Diceros bicornis minor: one gene and its partners. The protein of the gene in region 3 binds, or shares a complex with, the protein of the main gene of each other region. Links are inferred from orthologs where the notes say so. Each region holds a gene or a part of one and is shown on either strand. Other genes may lie near its edges.

Region 1 (5,712 bases), on a different chromosome or scaffold from region 3:
CCTGAGCATAGGTCACCATCATCTTGGACTTTCACCATCATAGATTACTTTAACAGTTACTTATCTGAATTTCATACTTCTAATCTTTCCACTTTTCCAAACCAGTCTACCACATTGCAGCCAAAGTGATCTTTCTAAAATGCAATAGGTCATATCACCACCACCACCCCCATTCCACGTTCCTGCTTCAAGTCCTTCATCTGTTTCCCTTGCATTAAAATCTAATACCCTTGGGTTTAGCCCAAACTCCTTAATATGGCTTGTAAGGTCCTTCATGATTTGGCTTCTGCCCCTTCCCCAACCTCATCACTATATTTGCAATCTCATTCTGTATTCTAACCACACAGTTCTGGGCCCTCTATCTGGAACATTTCCTTCAGGAAGACTTCCCTTAGGCCCTTAGACTGGATTAGGAGCCACACTATGTGTTTCCAGAGTTTTCTGTGCTTCCCCTATTTGTAACCTTTATTCCTACATTATAATTGCTTGTATGCTCCTTAATTGCCTCCTCTGCAAGCTCTATAAAGGTCTGCCCTGCTCACCATTGTATCCCCAGCACACGACGCAGTAGATACTCAGTAAATTATGCTGAATTCAGGCACATCAGACACACAGACTATGCTCTTTCAGCTATACCATGTTGTCTCATACCCAAAAAACTGGATCACTTTACAGCCTGACTGGAGTCTGGTGTCTTAAATTTTCTCAGCACTTTCGTTATTTGCCACATCTACAGATGCCCAGATTCACCAGTTACATTATAATTTCACTCTTGGGAAATAACCTTGTAGTAATTACCTGATGTCTCTATATACTTAACTCCAATTACCACCTCAAGATGGTTCTGAAAATTCAAAGAACAAGTACTTGTAAATGGGCTCAACCTAGGAGCTGACATTTATTAGGTGTTTAATACCTGGTGAGTCCTTTCTCTTTTTTTATAATTCCCTTGTTACCACCCATATCCAGTGTTTTGTAATAAAATGCCTTATGGTTTTATACCAATGTACAGTTTTCCAATTTCCAAGACATTGTTTCTTATCCTTACAACAGTTCTGCCTGGTATCTAACATTATTATGTTCATTTTAAAGATAAGGAACCTAAGGTCCGAAAAATTCAATCAGTTCACCTTCGGTCACAGTCAATCACTGTCACACAAGGGATATTTTAACTGAAGTCTCCAGTGACTTGCCCCCCCCCCCACATACACCCACTCCACACTCTGCCACCAATGCTTTTTCAGGGAGAAAAGGAGTAGTGGCAAGACCGAGAATGAGAATCAGAGACCCCTGGCCTGATTAGCATACAGTTATAGTCACCAGGCCCTGAGAACGATGCTATCTCAGCACTCTCTCGAGAACCGATTCCATTCCCCCTGTGGCTGGAACTTGCATGAGCTAAGGCAGGCTTCCATAATTAGGATTTGATCGCCCTTGGCCTATTCGACAAGTAAAATTTTCTCACAGCCAGAAAGCCTTCACAGAGGTCAACCACTTTGTAGAGCCTCTTGGGCAGTAGTCCTTAACCTTGAGCAACCCGGAGAGCTTTGCAGAAAAATCCGGACGCCCAGGTCTAGGGGGGTGGGGGGTGGACACGGGTGGAGGGATGCACTTATATGGTGACTGACAATAACGTACAACAAAAATTTCACAATAAAAAAACAACTATAAAAAAAAAAAATCCGGACGCCCAGGGCCACCGGGAGAGATTTTGATCTAACTGGTTTGGGGCGGGGCGCCGGCTCAGTACTTTTTAGCTGTTTGAGGTGATTCTCCCCTGCAGCCAGGGCTGGCAATCACCGCTGGGTAAGCACTGCAGAGACTGGGGAGTGGGACACCAAATATTCAACTTCTACACACAGCACGTGCTCTAGAGACCAGTGAGGTAGAGAGGGAAAGGGAGAAATTAAAAGGTAGAAAGAGATAAAATGGGGGGAAAGCGCGCGCGCGCCTTAGTTTCAGGGAAATGGCGGTCTCCACTGTGCACTCGGAAAGCGTCGCCGACAACGGTCCTGAACCGGTCGGAGGCAGCTTTGGACACACGCACCGTCGTGCGCGGCGCTCTCCTGTGAGGTCGGGTCATTTTACCCCATTTCACTGTCGAGGCGACCTAGGTCCAGAGACGGTGAAGGGCCTTGTCCGACTCACACAAGTCGGGTGCCTTTTCAATGGAGGCTGGCCCCGGACGGACGCAGGACTCTGGGGCTTCACCCCCAGGTCTTGAGGCGAGGTGTCCAGACGCCCCGCCGAAGCCCAGAGGCCCTCGGACGCCTTGCCCTCACGCCTCGGAGAACCCGGGCGGCCGAGCCCCAGCCGTGTTCCCGCCTCGGGCTGGGGGGCGGGGCTGCGCTGACCCCGCCCCCGGATGAAAGGCGCCATGTTTCCGCCGGAAGGCTGGGCAGACTCGTCCCCACCTCCGGGCGCGGGGGTGGAGGAAGCCCTCCTCCACGGGCGACGGCGTTGCCTTGACGTCACTTCCGCGCGCCGCCGTAAACGTCAGTATCGGGCGCATACGGCGGCGGTGTGGGTCGCTGTTAAAGTTCGGTCTCGGTTAGTTTTTGCGAGCCATGGAGAGTGACTTTTATCTGCGTTACTACGTGGGTCACAAGGGCAAGTTCGGCCACGAGTTCTTGGAGTTTGAGTTCCGACCCGACGGTAAGAGCGGCCTCCCGCCTCCCGGGAGTGAGGACTAGGCCTGGGGGCGGGCGAGTCGGGAGGCCTGGGGTCCGGGAAGTGCGAGGAACTAGGAGAAGGGAATGAGATGTGTGCAGTGCGGATCTGAAAGGAACGCGCCTGTGTCCTCCCCGCTGGTTGTTTTGTCCATGTGCAGGGACTTCTGTTTAGTGACATTTTTGACCAGAGTGCTTTCATTAACAAACATTGATTGAACGCCCACTTCGCGCCAGGTTCTGTTCCACAATCTGGGATACGGGAGTGAGCGATAGACAAGCTTCCTCTGCGTGGAACTTGCAGTCAAGTGCTGGGAGAGAGATCATAAACAAAAAAGATTCCAGATAGTGATGAGTGGTCAGAAAATAAAACAAAATGATGGAATAATTGCGAGTGGGCTGCTTTTAGATAGAGTGGCCATTGGAGAGCTCTCTGAAGAGGGGAAATTTGAACTCAGCCCTGATTGACAAGAAGGAGCCAGCCTTGTGAAGCTCAGAAGGAAGAGCATTCTAGACTAAACGGAATAACAGGTGTCAAGGCCATAGGGCAGGAATGAGCTAGGCATGTTTTAGGTGTCCAATGTGACTGAAGAGTAGTGAGCTCTGGAGAGAATAATATGAGATGATATCGGATAAGTAGGCAGGGGTCACACCACGTAGGTCTTTATGGGCGGTGGTAAAGAGTTTGGATTTTATTTTAAGCGCAGCAGGAAACACTTGGAAAGTTTTAAGCAGAGAAGAGATGTGATCTGTTCTTGAAAAAGTATTCTAATTATTGGGTGCAGAATGGGCAAGAGGGGAAACAAAGTGGAGAAAAGAATTTACGATGCTGTGGGAGACAGAACCAATAGGACTTTGCTGATAGAATTTGGGGGAGGGGGCACTGTGGTGAAGGAAAGAGGAATCAAAGATGACAGAAATCTCCCCCTAAATGGGGGCATGGAGATGAATCTGACAAGCCCCAATTGTGAAGGAGAAAGATTTGTAAAGAAACAGTGAAAAAACAATGTAATAGGTGCTGTGGTAGAAAGAAATGGAAGAGACTCTGGGAGCAGAAAGAAGGCACCTAACCTAGCCGGAGGGTCAGAGAAGGCTTCCTGCATAAAATGACTTGGGGCAGAGGGGGTGTAAGTCTTTAGTAATGTGTAGGGGTTGGTTAGGCAGATGACAGTCAAGAAGGCATTTTGGAGCCAGCCCTGATGGCCTAGTGGTTAAAGTTGGGTGCTCACTGCTTCGAGGCCCGGGTTGGCTTCCCGGTCTCGGAACCACACCACGTGTCTGTCAGTTGCCATGCTGTGGCGGCAGCTCATATAGAAGAACTAGCAAGACTTACAACTGGGATGTACAACCACGTACTGGGGCTTTGGGGAGGGGAAAAAAAAAAGAGAAAATTGGCAACAGATGTTGGCCCAGGGCGACTCTTTCCCTGCAAAAAAATAAATAAATATGGGCCGGCCCGGTTGGCGCAAGCGGTTAAGTGCACGCGCTCCACTGTGGCTGCCCCGGGTTTGCCGGTTCGGAATCCTGGGTGCGCACCGACGCACCGCTTGTCAAGCCATGCTGTGGCGGCGTCCCATATAAAGTGGAGGAAGATGGGCATGGATGTTAGCCCAGGGCCAGTCTTCCTCAGCAAAAAGAGGAGGATTGGCAGATGTTAGCTCAGGGCCGATCTTCCTCACAAAAAAATAAATAAATAAATAAAAGGCATTTTGGACAGCATTAAAGGCAGAGGCTGAAAACCAAAAAGGGGCATGGCATGTATTGGGCAGAAACCAAGTAGTTCGATTAACTCCGGCCGTGTGAGAGAGGAATCTTGCAGGAGTGACACTGGAAAGGCAGGGAGGGGCTCAGCTTAGCAGTATGCCATGTTGAGGAATTTGGATTTTATCAAGAAGACAGTGGGAAACCATTGTCAGTATCAAAATATTAGAGTAACCTAATCAGACAGATTGTTACTACATCACTTTGTCCACTGTATGGAGAGTAAACCGAAAGGAGGGAGATGAGACTGACAGTGCAGAGGCTGTGGAAATAATTTGACTCTTCGCACATGTATGCCTCTATTCTACAGAGAAGAAATCATCTGTTTTCTTTTATCTTCTCATTCGTACCCACCATATACCCAAATTAGCCTGTTGGATGCACATATGCACAAAAGGCTAGTATACCAAACGTGCAATAATAAAACCACAACTTTTCCATCACCAGAATAAATCAGAGTGTTGCACGGTCACATGATAATATATGCAAACAGTATTTTACAGTTTTCAGAATGCTTTCTACGACTCATTTAAGCCTCAGGAGGCCCTGTGTGCAGGTAAGTTATCAATTATTATCTTTATTTTCAGCTGAGGACATTAATCTGCAGAGAGATGATTTGCCCAAGTCACCAAGAGCCTGCTGATGTTCTTTTATCACACCTGAGCTGCCTTTTGCAAGAACTGTAATTCAGTGTCAGCTGTATTTTTGGCTGTGAGGCTATTTAATTAAAGTGAAGAACTGAAAAAACTAGTATTGTTGAAACACCAAAGGTGTAAATAGTAAATCTGTTAGACACTTTGAAGGGACAGTTAGGATACATTTTAAGCAACAGCTGATAGTGTTGGTAGGCTAAATGCTCTATTCATTTGTTTTTATTATACATTGAATTTGTTTTTTGTCCCTCACAGGGAAATTGAGATATGCCAACAACAGCAATTACAAAAATGATGTCATGATCAGAAAAGAGGTAATGAGCCTTCTGAGAGCCTTTCATTCACTACAGTTTAGCCTTTTGTATTTTTGTTCTTTCTGGGAGTAGTGTTGAAAGATAAAGAATAGAGAAGTATAGACACATGTCTGTAGACTGCTTTTAAAGTTTTTCTCAAATCTTCTTTTAGTTTATATTTTCTTTCACTATGCTGAGTCAATTACTGGTAATCATTTGAATCTTGGTTTGAACCCTGAATCTGCTACTTACTAACCATGTGACCTTGGGCAGTTTCCCTGGCTGAACTCGATAAGTCTCAGTTTGTTCATCTGCAAAGACAGAAATAATAAAACC
Region 2 (5,712 bases), on a different chromosome or scaffold from region 3:
TGAGGTGAACAGAGACAAACGCAAGTGCACATCATAGTGCTCTGAACTTTTTCTTATCTCCAACTTTTAGGCCTTTCATTTAAAGTTCATACTGTGTTTAAATCATGATTATCAATTAACAGTGAATAGAGTAAAATGACAAATTATAAAATGAATTAAATGATATGTTCAAATGTGGGACTACAAATTAATATATTCAGATTGCTTCTTTCGTTGTTACAGATGCTACAATTATACCTGATTTAAGTAGAATCCCTTTTCAATCTATAAATTGGCTTCTTTTTTACAGTACAGCTTAGATATACTTTAGTAAATTCAACACAGACAAGAAGAAAATGAGCTAAATGTAAAAAGTTATACATTCAAAAAAACCTTACCTCTTTTCTGATCATGACATCATTTTTGTAATTGCTGTTGTTGGCATATCTAAGCTTTCCTGTGGGGAGTGGAAAACAATTCAATCTATAACAGCAAAAACTGCTAAAAAAAGATAAATGACATCGTAAGCAATTTTGAACATAAAGACTATTTTATACTACTAGTTTTATTAATATTTCCTCCCTCCTAGCATAAGATCAATGCTAGACATATAAATACTCAAAAATTTACTGGTAAATTGGCTGCAGTTGAAGCTACTCAAATTTTTAAATATTCTATGCCTTTGATATAATTTTTAAATATTCAATATAATTTTTAAGTATTCCACGCCTTCAATGTAATTAAATATAATGGAAGGGCCATTTTCTTAAGCTATGTCATGAACTAGACAGGGAAGCTGAAAAAGGAAGAAACGTTTCTTTTAAAGTTTATTTTATATGTCTGTATTTGTGCTAAGTGATTTACCCAGAGCATTTAATCTAATCTGTAAAACAACCCTAAAATGTAGGTTTTATTCTCTCACCTATTCATAGGTGAGAAAACAGTTAAGTAACTTGCCCAAGGTCACACAAGATGCAGATCTAGATCTACCTTCCTCCAATACTCACGCTTTCCTCGCTACTCCAAAATGTTCTTTTAATTATTTTCTTTCAAATTAATGTATGTATATAATATGGCAATGCTAATAGTTTAGAATCGTGACTAGGAAGCATACAAACTATGTGCTGCTTCTGGATAAAGGCTGGCCAGTTTGTTAGCTGATCTATGTTTAATTTTAATCCATCATGACTTTTGTACTCCCTGATACATGCTTCTCCTCACGCCTAGTCAGTTGTCCAGGTAAAATGTAATGTGGTCCTGATCCTCTAAAATGATAGGTTACCCTAATGAGGTGAATCCCTTAGGAATCACTGTCTTTGTGAGTCACTATTACTGATCAAAGTACGTGGATGGTGTGGTGGCAGACAAATGGATGAGAACCACTGTTCAGGCATGAAATTTCCCTGATAATAATAGACAATTTATGTCACTGGATAAAAGTAACATGAACAAGCTAAATGATGTTCACAGACAAACGCACTGAAAACAATATCACAAAAGGAAAGAACAGATAGAGAATTCAGGTAAATTGGCTCTTTAGCTACATTTGGAAGAGATCTGAGAATAAGGTGATGAAAGTTTCTAAATAATTGCAGGGTTCTAGTTCCTTACGTTCTGCCTGAAACGTCTGATACTCTTCCCCTTTTGTAATATGTGATCCTCTCCTAATTTTTCTTTCATGCTTTCACAGAACTTTGTCCAAAGCATGAACATAGCACCTAACACTTAATATCCATACTGCTTTATGGTTAGTTTCATGTCTGTGTCCCTCATCAAAACATTTAACTCCTTGAGGATAATTAAAGTCTTACTCGTTGTAAATTCAATTTTCGTATTTACACGTAGCCCAGCAAATAATATGCTTTCAAAAAAGAAACGTCTACGCAGTTGGACCGTCCTTGTTTCCAGAAGAGTTCAGTATACAACAACACTCTCTAAAGAGAATCAGAGCTGTGAAAAGATAGACTCTGCTTCACACTACATGGGCAGCAGGCAGTTCCACCTCGCCCTAGGCTCAGGCAGCTCTCAGCAGTCTGACTTTTTTTCTCAGAGGCCAAGAAAATACCTACTCTCATTTCAAGACTCATCTCAACTGTCACCTTCTCTAGAAAGTTTTCCCCGATTCCTTCATGTAGAACTAACCGCTCGCCTTTTTTTATATTCTTAATACATCCAATGAAGAATAACTGTATTTAAGTACGCAAAACACTCATTTTTCTACACGTCGAGCGCCCCCCTTCGGAGCAGGTCTCCTTCGTTTTTCGACATGTTGCCTTACATACAGCGCCTGAATGAATAAAATGGATGAATGGGTAGTCGGAAAGTTACTGGTCCGGGAAGATTGTAAGTATCCATCGGACCACCGCGTGGTGGGGTGTTCTTAAAAATGTTCAAGCACGTATTAGGTCGATAAACCAGATGGCATTGAAAGTCTCTTCCGGTGTGCTGATTCTAGGATTCTGATTAACGTGGGTTCAGCTTTTCAGTATCTGGCATGAGTGGCTTTTCTGAATTAATTTCCACCCTTTAATTATCTTTTATTCACAAAACCAATTTAACCTCTTATATTCCTTAGCTCCTCTTTACTTCGTCTCAAGCAGCGCTTGCAAACCCGCGGAGGCTCGCACACCCCACCCCGCCTCCTCCGCGGCCAGCCCCGAGCTTCCCCGAGCTCAGCGCCGCGCTGGGTGCGGCCCCGGCGGCCACTCCTCTGCTCACCGTCGGGCCGAAACTCAAACTCCAGAAACTCGTGTCCAAATTTTCCCTTGTGCCCTACGTAGTAGCGCAGGTAAAAATCGCTGGCCATAGCCATTTTCGTTCCCGGAAAGCCCGCCGAAGGCCTGGCCACCGTGCCGCCGGGCGCCTGGCAGTGACGTCAGTCGCCCAGGATAAAATCGTCACCACGGGCGCGCCCTTTCCGCCTCCCGGGTCCCCAGGGGAAAGGGGGAAGGTGGCGTCTCGGAGAGACCCGGAGGTACGGGATGGAGGGTAGTAGCGACGTGTATGTAGCTTTACTAGGATTGGAAGCACATTACTTTCCAAATTAAATAGATCCAATTATATTAGCAAAGCAGAGAAGTGTGAAAATACGATAGCCTTTTTTATGGGCTTAGGAAGAAGGTATGCAAATCGCTTTTTCCGAGTCTCTAATTCTCGCGGGATTTTTTGAGCTTGCTGTGGCATCATTCCCCTTTAAATGGTGGGATGAGTAAAGATAAAGCCCAGAATAGGTGGCAGACTTGGATACAACGCTTTCTCCTGGTAGGTTTCTAACACGGGGCTTTCCCCTTTGGACAAGGATTGCTAGTTATCCGGCAGCTAGAAACCTGTAATAATAGAGACAAAGTAGAAAGAATCCATCAGACAAAAGGTGTGAAATTTTGAAAGGCACATTGACACTGAAAATTCCTTACAGTCATGGTATAAAAGAGTTCCTTTTAATAGCAAAACTTCTTTCATTCAGTAAAGGTTAATCTTCAGTGGCCTGTGGAGTGTTGGCAATATGACTTAAAATCAAATGTTTTAGCCCACGTTTCCTACCAAATAAAACTAAATTGGAGAAGTGAACGAATGCTCTAGTGTGGGATGGAGCTTGAATAATGAGGAAACACAGGGTGAGCTTTTACACAGTCTATTCTTCAAATATTAATGACCACCCTCCTTTTATCAACACACAAACTAATCCTGCCTGTTGGGTGACCTTTAACCTCCAGTGGGATTTAGTAGAAAGAGTGGCTGTCAGAAGACCTGGGATTCATTCCCAACACGTACCTCTACCTAACCTTGGTCACGTCACTATCTCTGAGCCTGTTTGTTCATCAACCAAGTGAATATTCTACAGTCAATTTTTCCAAGCTCACAGAATTGTTGAGAGGATCAAATGAGGTACTGCATGTAAAATAAACTTTAAAATTTATAAAACATTATATAATGAGTTTGTCAAAACTCATTGACAAGCATTTCCTATGTGCCAGAAAGGGTTGGACACTAGTAATAAAAAGATAGAGCCCTTTGCACTTGTAGTCTGTAAAAGAAAGCAAACATGTAGACCAATAATTGCACAAGGTAGCAATTGGTATAAGAAAGAATTTTTTTAAGTGCTGGTAGTACACAGAGGAAGCAAGTCACTTTATTGGAGAATAGAGGAAGTTGAAGAAAGGGAAGTATCAGGGAAGGCTTGTGACAAAATGTGCTATTTGAATAGGACCTTGTTGGATAAGTTCAGTATATGTTCAGAGGGATGGGAAAGCATTTCAGGAAGAAAACAGCCTGAGCAAAGACACAGTTGTATGAAAATGCGTGATGTGGGAAAGCCAAAAAATTTAGTATAGCTAGAACATAAGGTTCATGTAAGTGGAAAAACTAGAAAGGCAGACTGGGCCAGGTTATGTTGAGTCTATATTAATTGTATAACTGTCAATATAGAAATCCATATTAACCATTGTATAAGTGTTAATATAGAAAAATTATTCAGTTCGTACTATAGGCTGCCATTATGGAAAATACACAAGAAACATAAAGAACCATCCCTTAACACTGGGGTGAAAATTAACCATTTCACTTTGCCCAGGACTGAGGAGTTTCCTCAGATGAGGGACTTTCAGTTTTAAAACCTGGAAAGTCCCAGGCAAACTAAAATGAATTGGTCACTGTACTTACTACAAGAATACCGCACAGAAATTGGACCACACTGTTGCATAGTATCTCTGAAAATATAGGCATAATCCATTTGTTTTGTGGGAGTTTTTTTGTAGGGAGCCTCATTCAGTATCTTTCGATTCCCTAATGCATTTATTCAGATTTTTGGCACATGTGCCAGTGTTCATCCTCATGCCTACTGGAATAGAGCTACAGCTACCAGAACTGTGACTACGGAACTTAAGGAATATACAGTGTTAAGAACTTTATCTGTGGGCCAATTGTTGTCTTTATCCCCTAAAAAGACTCCTGAGCTCAAGACTAATCCTTTCTAACCCTGTTTTTAAGATGAAATGTGAAAATATGTGTACTTAATCCGTCATATATTTAGCCCCCTAAAAAACGTCAAAATGTATATCTCTAGTATCACTATGTTAGTGCTGTCTAGTCACCTCCTGGGGACCCCGTGTAAAGCAGAACAGAACCCTGCCCCGTCTTTTTGTGCCAACCTCTCACCTTCCAGTGCTGTATCAGAGAGTGCTTCACTGCTAGTCATAGAGTTTTCACCGCCAGTTTTTCTGGAAGTGGGTGGCCGGGTCCTTCTTCCTAGTCTGTCTTAGTCTGGAAGCTCTGCTGAAACCTGTCCAGCATGGGCGACCCTGCTGGTGTTTGAAATACTGGTGGCAGAGCTTTCAGCATCACAGCAACATGCGGCTGCCACACTATGACAACTGACAGATGGGTGGTGTGGTTCGCTGACCGGAAAGACGAACCCAGGCCGCAGCGGTGAGAGCACCAAATCTTAAGCACGAGACCAGCAGGGCTGGTATCTAGTATCACTGTAAGGATTGCAAAGGGATAAAGCGTTTGTGTTTTGTGTTCTTTTTGGATGTTGCAGAGACGTGGAAACGTTCTGAATGGCTACTGAGCACTTGAAATGTGGCTTGTGAGACTGAGAAACTGAATTTTTTTATTTTTAAATATTACTTAATTTGTATGAATTTAAATTAATATTTAAATAGCCACATGTGTCCACTGACTGCTGTAGTGGACAGTGCAGTTATATAAGAACCATTTCGTACACTTTTACTTGAG
Region 3 (5,712 bases):
CTGTATTCGGGGAGGGGTCCTCAAGGAGGACGAAGACCAGGTCTGCTCCGCTCCCCATTGTTTCCCCAGAGAGCATTGTTCACCGAGAGGATGTACCCGCTCCCACTCCACAGCTCTTGTCCTTTTCACGGACTCTGGCTAAAATGGTAAACAGTCAGTGGCCCCAAACAAAAGGAAGATGCCTTTAAGATGTGTATTCAGACACAGCGAGAAGGACATTGCCAGGAAAATGGCATAAAATGTTACAAAACTATGAAAGTAAAAGACAAGTCTAGGCGGATCATGAAGGAGATTAAAAATCTCTGAATAAGGGCAGAAGTAAATTATCCTCTTCACACTTAGAAGAATGTGATAATTTCTTTCCCTCCTCGTTGATACCAGAATTGATAAAGTCAGTAATCTTCAGTTTACTTTCCCCACACTCCTGGTAAGGTTATTTTACACGCTATTAAGTACCCAGAACAGCACTCTCCAATAGGAACATAATATATAATTAAAATGTTTCTAGCAGCCATATTGAAAAAAATAAAACGAAACAGGTGAAATTAATTTAAATAACATTTTATTTAGCCCAGTATATCTAAAATATTATAATTTCAACATATAATCAATATAAAAATTATTGAGATATTTTGTGTTCTTCTAAGTCTTTGAAACCTGTACTTGTAACAGAGCCCTAGAGCACAGTTTGCAAAACAGAGTGTGTACACCTCAGAGAGGGTACCAAATAATCCTTTATGGAGAAGATGACGTAAGAATTTATATTTGTATTTTATTTATTTTAAAGTCTAAGAAAGAAGTCCAGCTTCATAAATATTTGATTAATACTGGCATCCTTCATAGGCATGTTCATCACATCAATTACCTTATAAGGTTTGGACATATTCTGAGGTCAGAACGAGAGCTTTTCGAGAACTAAACCGTCACTTACTTGTTTGCTGTCAATCTATTGCAACCCACTGCACTCTCCATGTGCCTGGTTTAGAAGATGAAACGACGAGCCAGTTTTAACTAAACTAACCTTCCCAACAGGAGAGGGTTCAAGCTCTCCTGGAAGGAGGCGGTGGATTAAAGCCATGCCCAGTGATGCGAGCCAAGCAAACAACGAGAAAGGACAGAGCTGACACTTGCGAGAGTGTAACCTTCCCGAAATTAAAAACATCATTTTCACACAACACAGGATGAACACAGTCAGGGGGCGAAGCTGCTTCAGAAGCGTTTTGAGGAGTCGGTATTCAGACACTTAAGTTCAGGGTAAGAGGGTATAACAGGTTAACGCTCTACAGGCAACAAAGAGCCATCGCCTCCGGGGCGATTCCTCCTGCAGGGCAGGGTCGATTAGCGCCTCCACCAGACGCAGAATGACCCGCGAGCTGCAGTCAAACAGAGGCGCGTCCCCAGGTCACGCAGCCCGTCCCGGGGGTCCGGGGACGTCGAGACTCCACTGTCCGCATCCCCAAGCGTGGGCACTTTCTCTCGACACGCTCGACCCCGGGTAGCGGCTTTTCCATTAGGGGCCACTCAACCAGAGCTGACAAAAAGGCAGTCAAAAACCGCCAGATTTTCCGACAGTAGACTATTTCCAACTACTAGCAGTGAGGATTTACCTCTGGCGTCGGTAATAATGAGAATAATGCTTTCCCCACCACGAGCCGCGCGCCTCCGACCCAGGTCGGCGATAAGGTCGGAAGAAGCGTATAAACGCGGGAGTGTGCGCATCTGGGGACCCGCGCCAGGTTCCCATTCGAGGCATGGCCGCCTGGAGACCCGGCCCGGAGCAGAGGCGCCCTGGCTTGGCCCGCAGCCGGTCTTCCGGGGCTCCGAGTCTACCGTCCCGTTCGGAAACATGTCAGAACCCGCCACCACCACCTCAAACCTTCCAAACGTCCATTTCACACATCCCGGGTCAGCCCGCCCCTCGGCACTTTTTATACGGGGTGGGCGGAGTCCCGCCCCTTGCGAGATATCGCAGGATCTCACATCGCGAGAGCAGGAGCAGCAGCACCGCCCCTTTCCCTGCCTCAAGCTCCCTTTCCCCTTTCAATGAAGAGGAGGCCCCGCTCCTCGCGAGATGCGGCCCCGACGCACGCTCGTACGCACGCTCTTACGCACGCACGCATGCAAGCACGCGTCAGTTCCTGGCGGCGGCGGCGGTGGCGCAGGCGCAGGGCTTTGCTTCCGCTTTCCGCTGCGGCGCGCGCTCTGCTGTTAGCCGAGTCGGGATCATGGCGGCCACGGCCACGATGGCGACTTCGGGCTCGGCGCGGAAGCGGTTGCTCAAAGAGGAAGACATGACCAAAGTGGAATTCGAGACCAGCGAGGAGGTGGACGTGACCCCCACGTTCGACACCATGGGCCTGCGGGAGGACCTACTGCGCGGCATCTACGCCTATGGTCGGTGGGCGCGGGCCGCGGGCCGTTAGCCGGGGATGCGGGCGGGAGTGAGGCTGAGACTGCGAGTCCCGGGCAGGCCCCGGAGGCCGGGGGTTGGAGCCGAGGCCGAGCCGCTGACGGGCGACCCCCGCCCGCAGCACGCCATCCACTACCGCGTTTGCGTCGGTGGGTTCGGTTTTGTCCTCGATGCAGAGCACCGTGCTGGTCCAGCGAGGGCTGCAAAGCCTTCCGGGCCCTTCGGAGTCATTCGTTCCGCGGATAACTGTCCTGTACCTGCCAGGTGCTCCGGACGTGCGCGGCTCTAGGCACTGAGGGTTTAGCAGTGGACCAGACAGGCTCGTGCCCTTAGGTAGCTTAAGTTATGTTTGGGAGACAGACGGCATAGAGCCTAGGCTGCTTCAGGTAGTGGTAATGGCTCTAGAGAAAATAAAGCGGGATAATTGAATGAAGTGTGATTGGAGGGAAAAGAGAGTTACAATACATAGAGAAAATAGATGAGAGGTCTCCCAGAAGGGGCTGACATTTGAGCTGACATCTGGATTAAGGAGCCCTTATGAGAAGACTATGGTAGTACTGGACAGAGGGAGCAGCTGGTGCCAGGGCCCTGTAGCCCTGAGCTGAGTGATTCTAGGAGCAGAAAGAAGCTTCCTGTCGTGAGAGCCCAGGGGCGAGTTTGGAGAGAGAGGCAGGGGCCAGATCTTGCAGAGGATCATATGAGATGATCAAGAACTTGAATTTTATTTCTTTTTTTTTTTTTGTGAGGAGATCAGCCCTGTGCTAACATCTGCCAATCCTCCTCTTTTTTTTGCTGAGGAAGACTGGCCCTGTGCTAACATCCGTGCCCATCTTCCTCCACTTCATATGGGATGCGGCACAGCATGGCTTGCCAGGCAGTGCGTCGGTGCACGCCCGGGATCCGAACCAGCGAACCTCGGGGCCGCCCCAGCAGAACGCGTGCACTTAACCGCTTGCGTCACCGGGCCGGCCCCTGAATTTTATTTCTAAGTGTGGTGGGAAGCCAGTGGAGGATTTTAATCAGGAAAGTGAGACGATTACAGTTACAGAGGTTATCCTGGGTGTCTGTGGATTTGAGGGGAGGATTTGAGGGGAGTTGAGGCAGGAGAGGAAGCAGGGCGATGAGTTAGAGGCTTTTGTTCCAGTCCAGGGGAGAGATGATGGCATTGTGGCCGAGGTGGAGTACTAACAGGGTTCCCTGATGGGTTGAATGGGAGCGGCAGAGGAAGGAGGACTCACGTGATTCCTGGGTGTTGTGAGTAACGGGCAGCATGCTTGCTTAGGTGGGGAGCGCTCGAGGGAGGCAAAGTGGGAAGCTCTGTCTTGGATGTGGTGACCTTGAGGGGCCTGTGAGCCATCCATTTGGAGATGTCGGGAAGGCAGTTGTCTAAGTTGGGAGCTGAGGAAGATCGGTGGTGTTGGAGGTGCAGGTGGGAGTGATCAGCGTCTGCTTAACGCCTGGGATGTCTTTTATCCAGCAGTCCTGATGTCATGGCAGTTTGGATAGAGCAAAGAGAAGGTGCTGAGGGAACGGGAGGTGAAAGAACCATTGCAGCCTGGCCTGAGTGAGGCTGACAGCCCTACGTGCCTCTAGGCACCCAGGGCATCCCTGCCCTAAAACACGGTTTTTAGTTTCCCATTGGTCATCATGAGGAGTTTAAATCATCTGTGGTGTTTGCTTTTGTGCTAGATGGGAAATTATACTACCAAAAAATAATTAAAATACAGTTTTTGTACATAAGTTTTGTTTATTTGGAAAATACTTTTACTCCTTCAGAGTGGCCTCATGCCTTGGTAATTGCTATGCAAGAGGGGTGGTGTTGTAGTTCATGTAGCTACATCAAGTCAGGGAGGAGTACAGTGCTGGACACCCTGCAGTACGACCCGCACGGTAGATTAAATGTAGTTGTAGACAATGTGAACAACCCACATGGGAAGGAGGGCTGACTACAGCGCTGATGGGTTTATTTTCCTTTGTATAATTTAAAAAGTAATACAAAAAAAAAGCATTGCAGGTTATTGTAATGTAGTCAAACAATACAGAAGTAATTGGAGTAAAAAGTGAGCCTCCCCAACCCATTCTCCAGAGGTACCACCGCTAACATTTTGGGTTTTTTTTTGGTGTGTGTGAGGAGGATCAGCCCTGTGCTAACATCTGACAATCCTCCTCGTTTTTTGCTGAGGAAGACTGGCTCTGGGCTAACATCCGTGCCCATATTCCTCCACTTTATATGGGACGCCGCCACAGCATAGCTTGCCAAGCGGTGCCTCCATGTGCGCCAGGGATCCGAACCGGCGAACCCCGGGCCGCCGCAGCGGCGGCGCACGCACTTAACCGCTTGCGCCGCTGGGCCAGTCCCAACATTTTCTTTTTAACTGACTGAGGTCTCTATATTCTGCAGTCATGTTCCTTTTACAGAGATTTTGTCTGTATAAATAAGATCCCCCGTTAGTCAGTATAATAAAAATCTACTTCAGCCCAATTCATTCAGCAGCTGTTTCTTGAGAGCTCAGTGTGTTAGACATTGGGTTAGGCGAGGGTGGGAGTGGGGAGTTAAAAAAAGATACCATTTCTGCCCCGAGGAGCCTACACTGTATGGTTGTAAACATGCTGTCCTGGTGGTTAGGGCTAATTTTTTGTTTTTATTTACAGGTTTTGAAAAACCCTCAGCAATCCAGCAGCGAGCTATCAAGCAGATAATTAAAGGGAGAGATGTCATCGCACAGTAAGTCTGCTCACACAGAGTGGGAATGAGATGCTAGGAAAGCAAAGGGTGGTTCATGCTTTGGGATGACCATTTTTGTCAGTTTTCATACACTCCTTACCAACTCTTTCCTTGACTTTAGCCACAGGGTGTTTTGTTTGTGTTTATGTTTGTGTCTTCTACTTTGGAAAGCCTTCATTTTTTTAGCTAGCTTTACTTACATGTCAGTCAGCATGTGAAATTGTATATAATGCTCTTTTAATAGCTTTATTCCTGGTGCCTAATTTTTAAAGACTCATTTACAAAAAAAAAAAATATATTTTTGGAGGATAGTTTCATTCCAAACTCAAAGAAAAGAATTATAGTTACATAAAGGGGAATCTCTCTTTTCTGCCACCTCTAACACTTGTTGGAGTTACAGCTTCTGTAGCTCCATCACCCCCTGATGCAAAAGCCACATCTGCTGTGCTCATCACCAGTGATTTAAAAGTTGTGACACGGTGCCTGAGTCCCGCCCTTGCAGTTAAGATATTGATGGTCTTTTGTGGGGGGTCGGGAGGCGTCTGCTTGGAAGAAGCTGCCAAGTGCTTCTGCCCCT

Evidence for each region.
Region 1: EIF4A3 (region 3) and MAGOH share a complex: the UniProt entries of both Homo sapiens proteins name them as parts of the ALYREF/THOC4-EJC-RNA complex. The link is inferred for Diceros bicornis minor from reciprocal best matches to the Homo sapiens genes EIF4A3 and MAGOH.
Region 2: EIF4A3 (region 3) and MAGOHB share a complex: the UniProt entries of both Homo sapiens proteins name them as parts of the mRNA splicing-dependent exon junction complex. The link is inferred for Diceros bicornis minor from reciprocal best matches to the Homo sapiens genes EIF4A3 and MAGOHB.

What each region holds. Positions count from the first base shown.
Region 1 is NC_080752.1:15,567,428-15,573,139, reverse strand, and holds the start of MAGOH (protein mago nashi homolog), read left to right. Parts: upstream 1-2,500; 5' UTR 2,501-2,567; coding exon 2,568-2,655; intron 2,656-5,338; coding exon 5,339-5,397; intron 5,398-5,712. UniProt on the Homo sapiens protein: Required for pre-mRNA splicing as component of the spliceosome. Plays a redundant role with MAGOHB as core component of the exon junction complex (EJC) and in the nonsense-mediated decay (NMD) pathway.
Region 2 is NC_080756.1:50,347,539-50,353,250, reverse strand, and holds the start of MAGOHB (protein mago nashi homolog 2), read right to left. Parts: upstream 2,833-5,712; 5' UTR 2,792-2,832; coding exon 2,698-2,791; intron 481-2,697; exon of another isoform or gene 437-480; coding exon 378-436; intron 1-377. UniProt on the Homo sapiens protein: Required for pre-mRNA splicing as component of the spliceosome. Plays a redundant role with MAGOH in the exon junction complex and in the nonsense-mediated decay (NMD) pathway.
Region 3 is NC_080757.1:59,716,713-59,722,424, reverse strand, and holds the start of EIF4A3 (eukaryotic initiation factor 4A-III), read left to right. Parts: upstream 1-2,205; 5' UTR 2,206-2,225; coding exon 2,226-2,394; intron 2,395-5,062; coding exon 5,063-5,135; intron 5,136-5,712. UniProt on the Homo sapiens protein: ATP-dependent RNA helicase. Involved in pre-mRNA splicing as component of the spliceosome. Core component of the splicing-dependent multiprotein exon junction complex (EJC) deposited at splice junctions on mRNAs.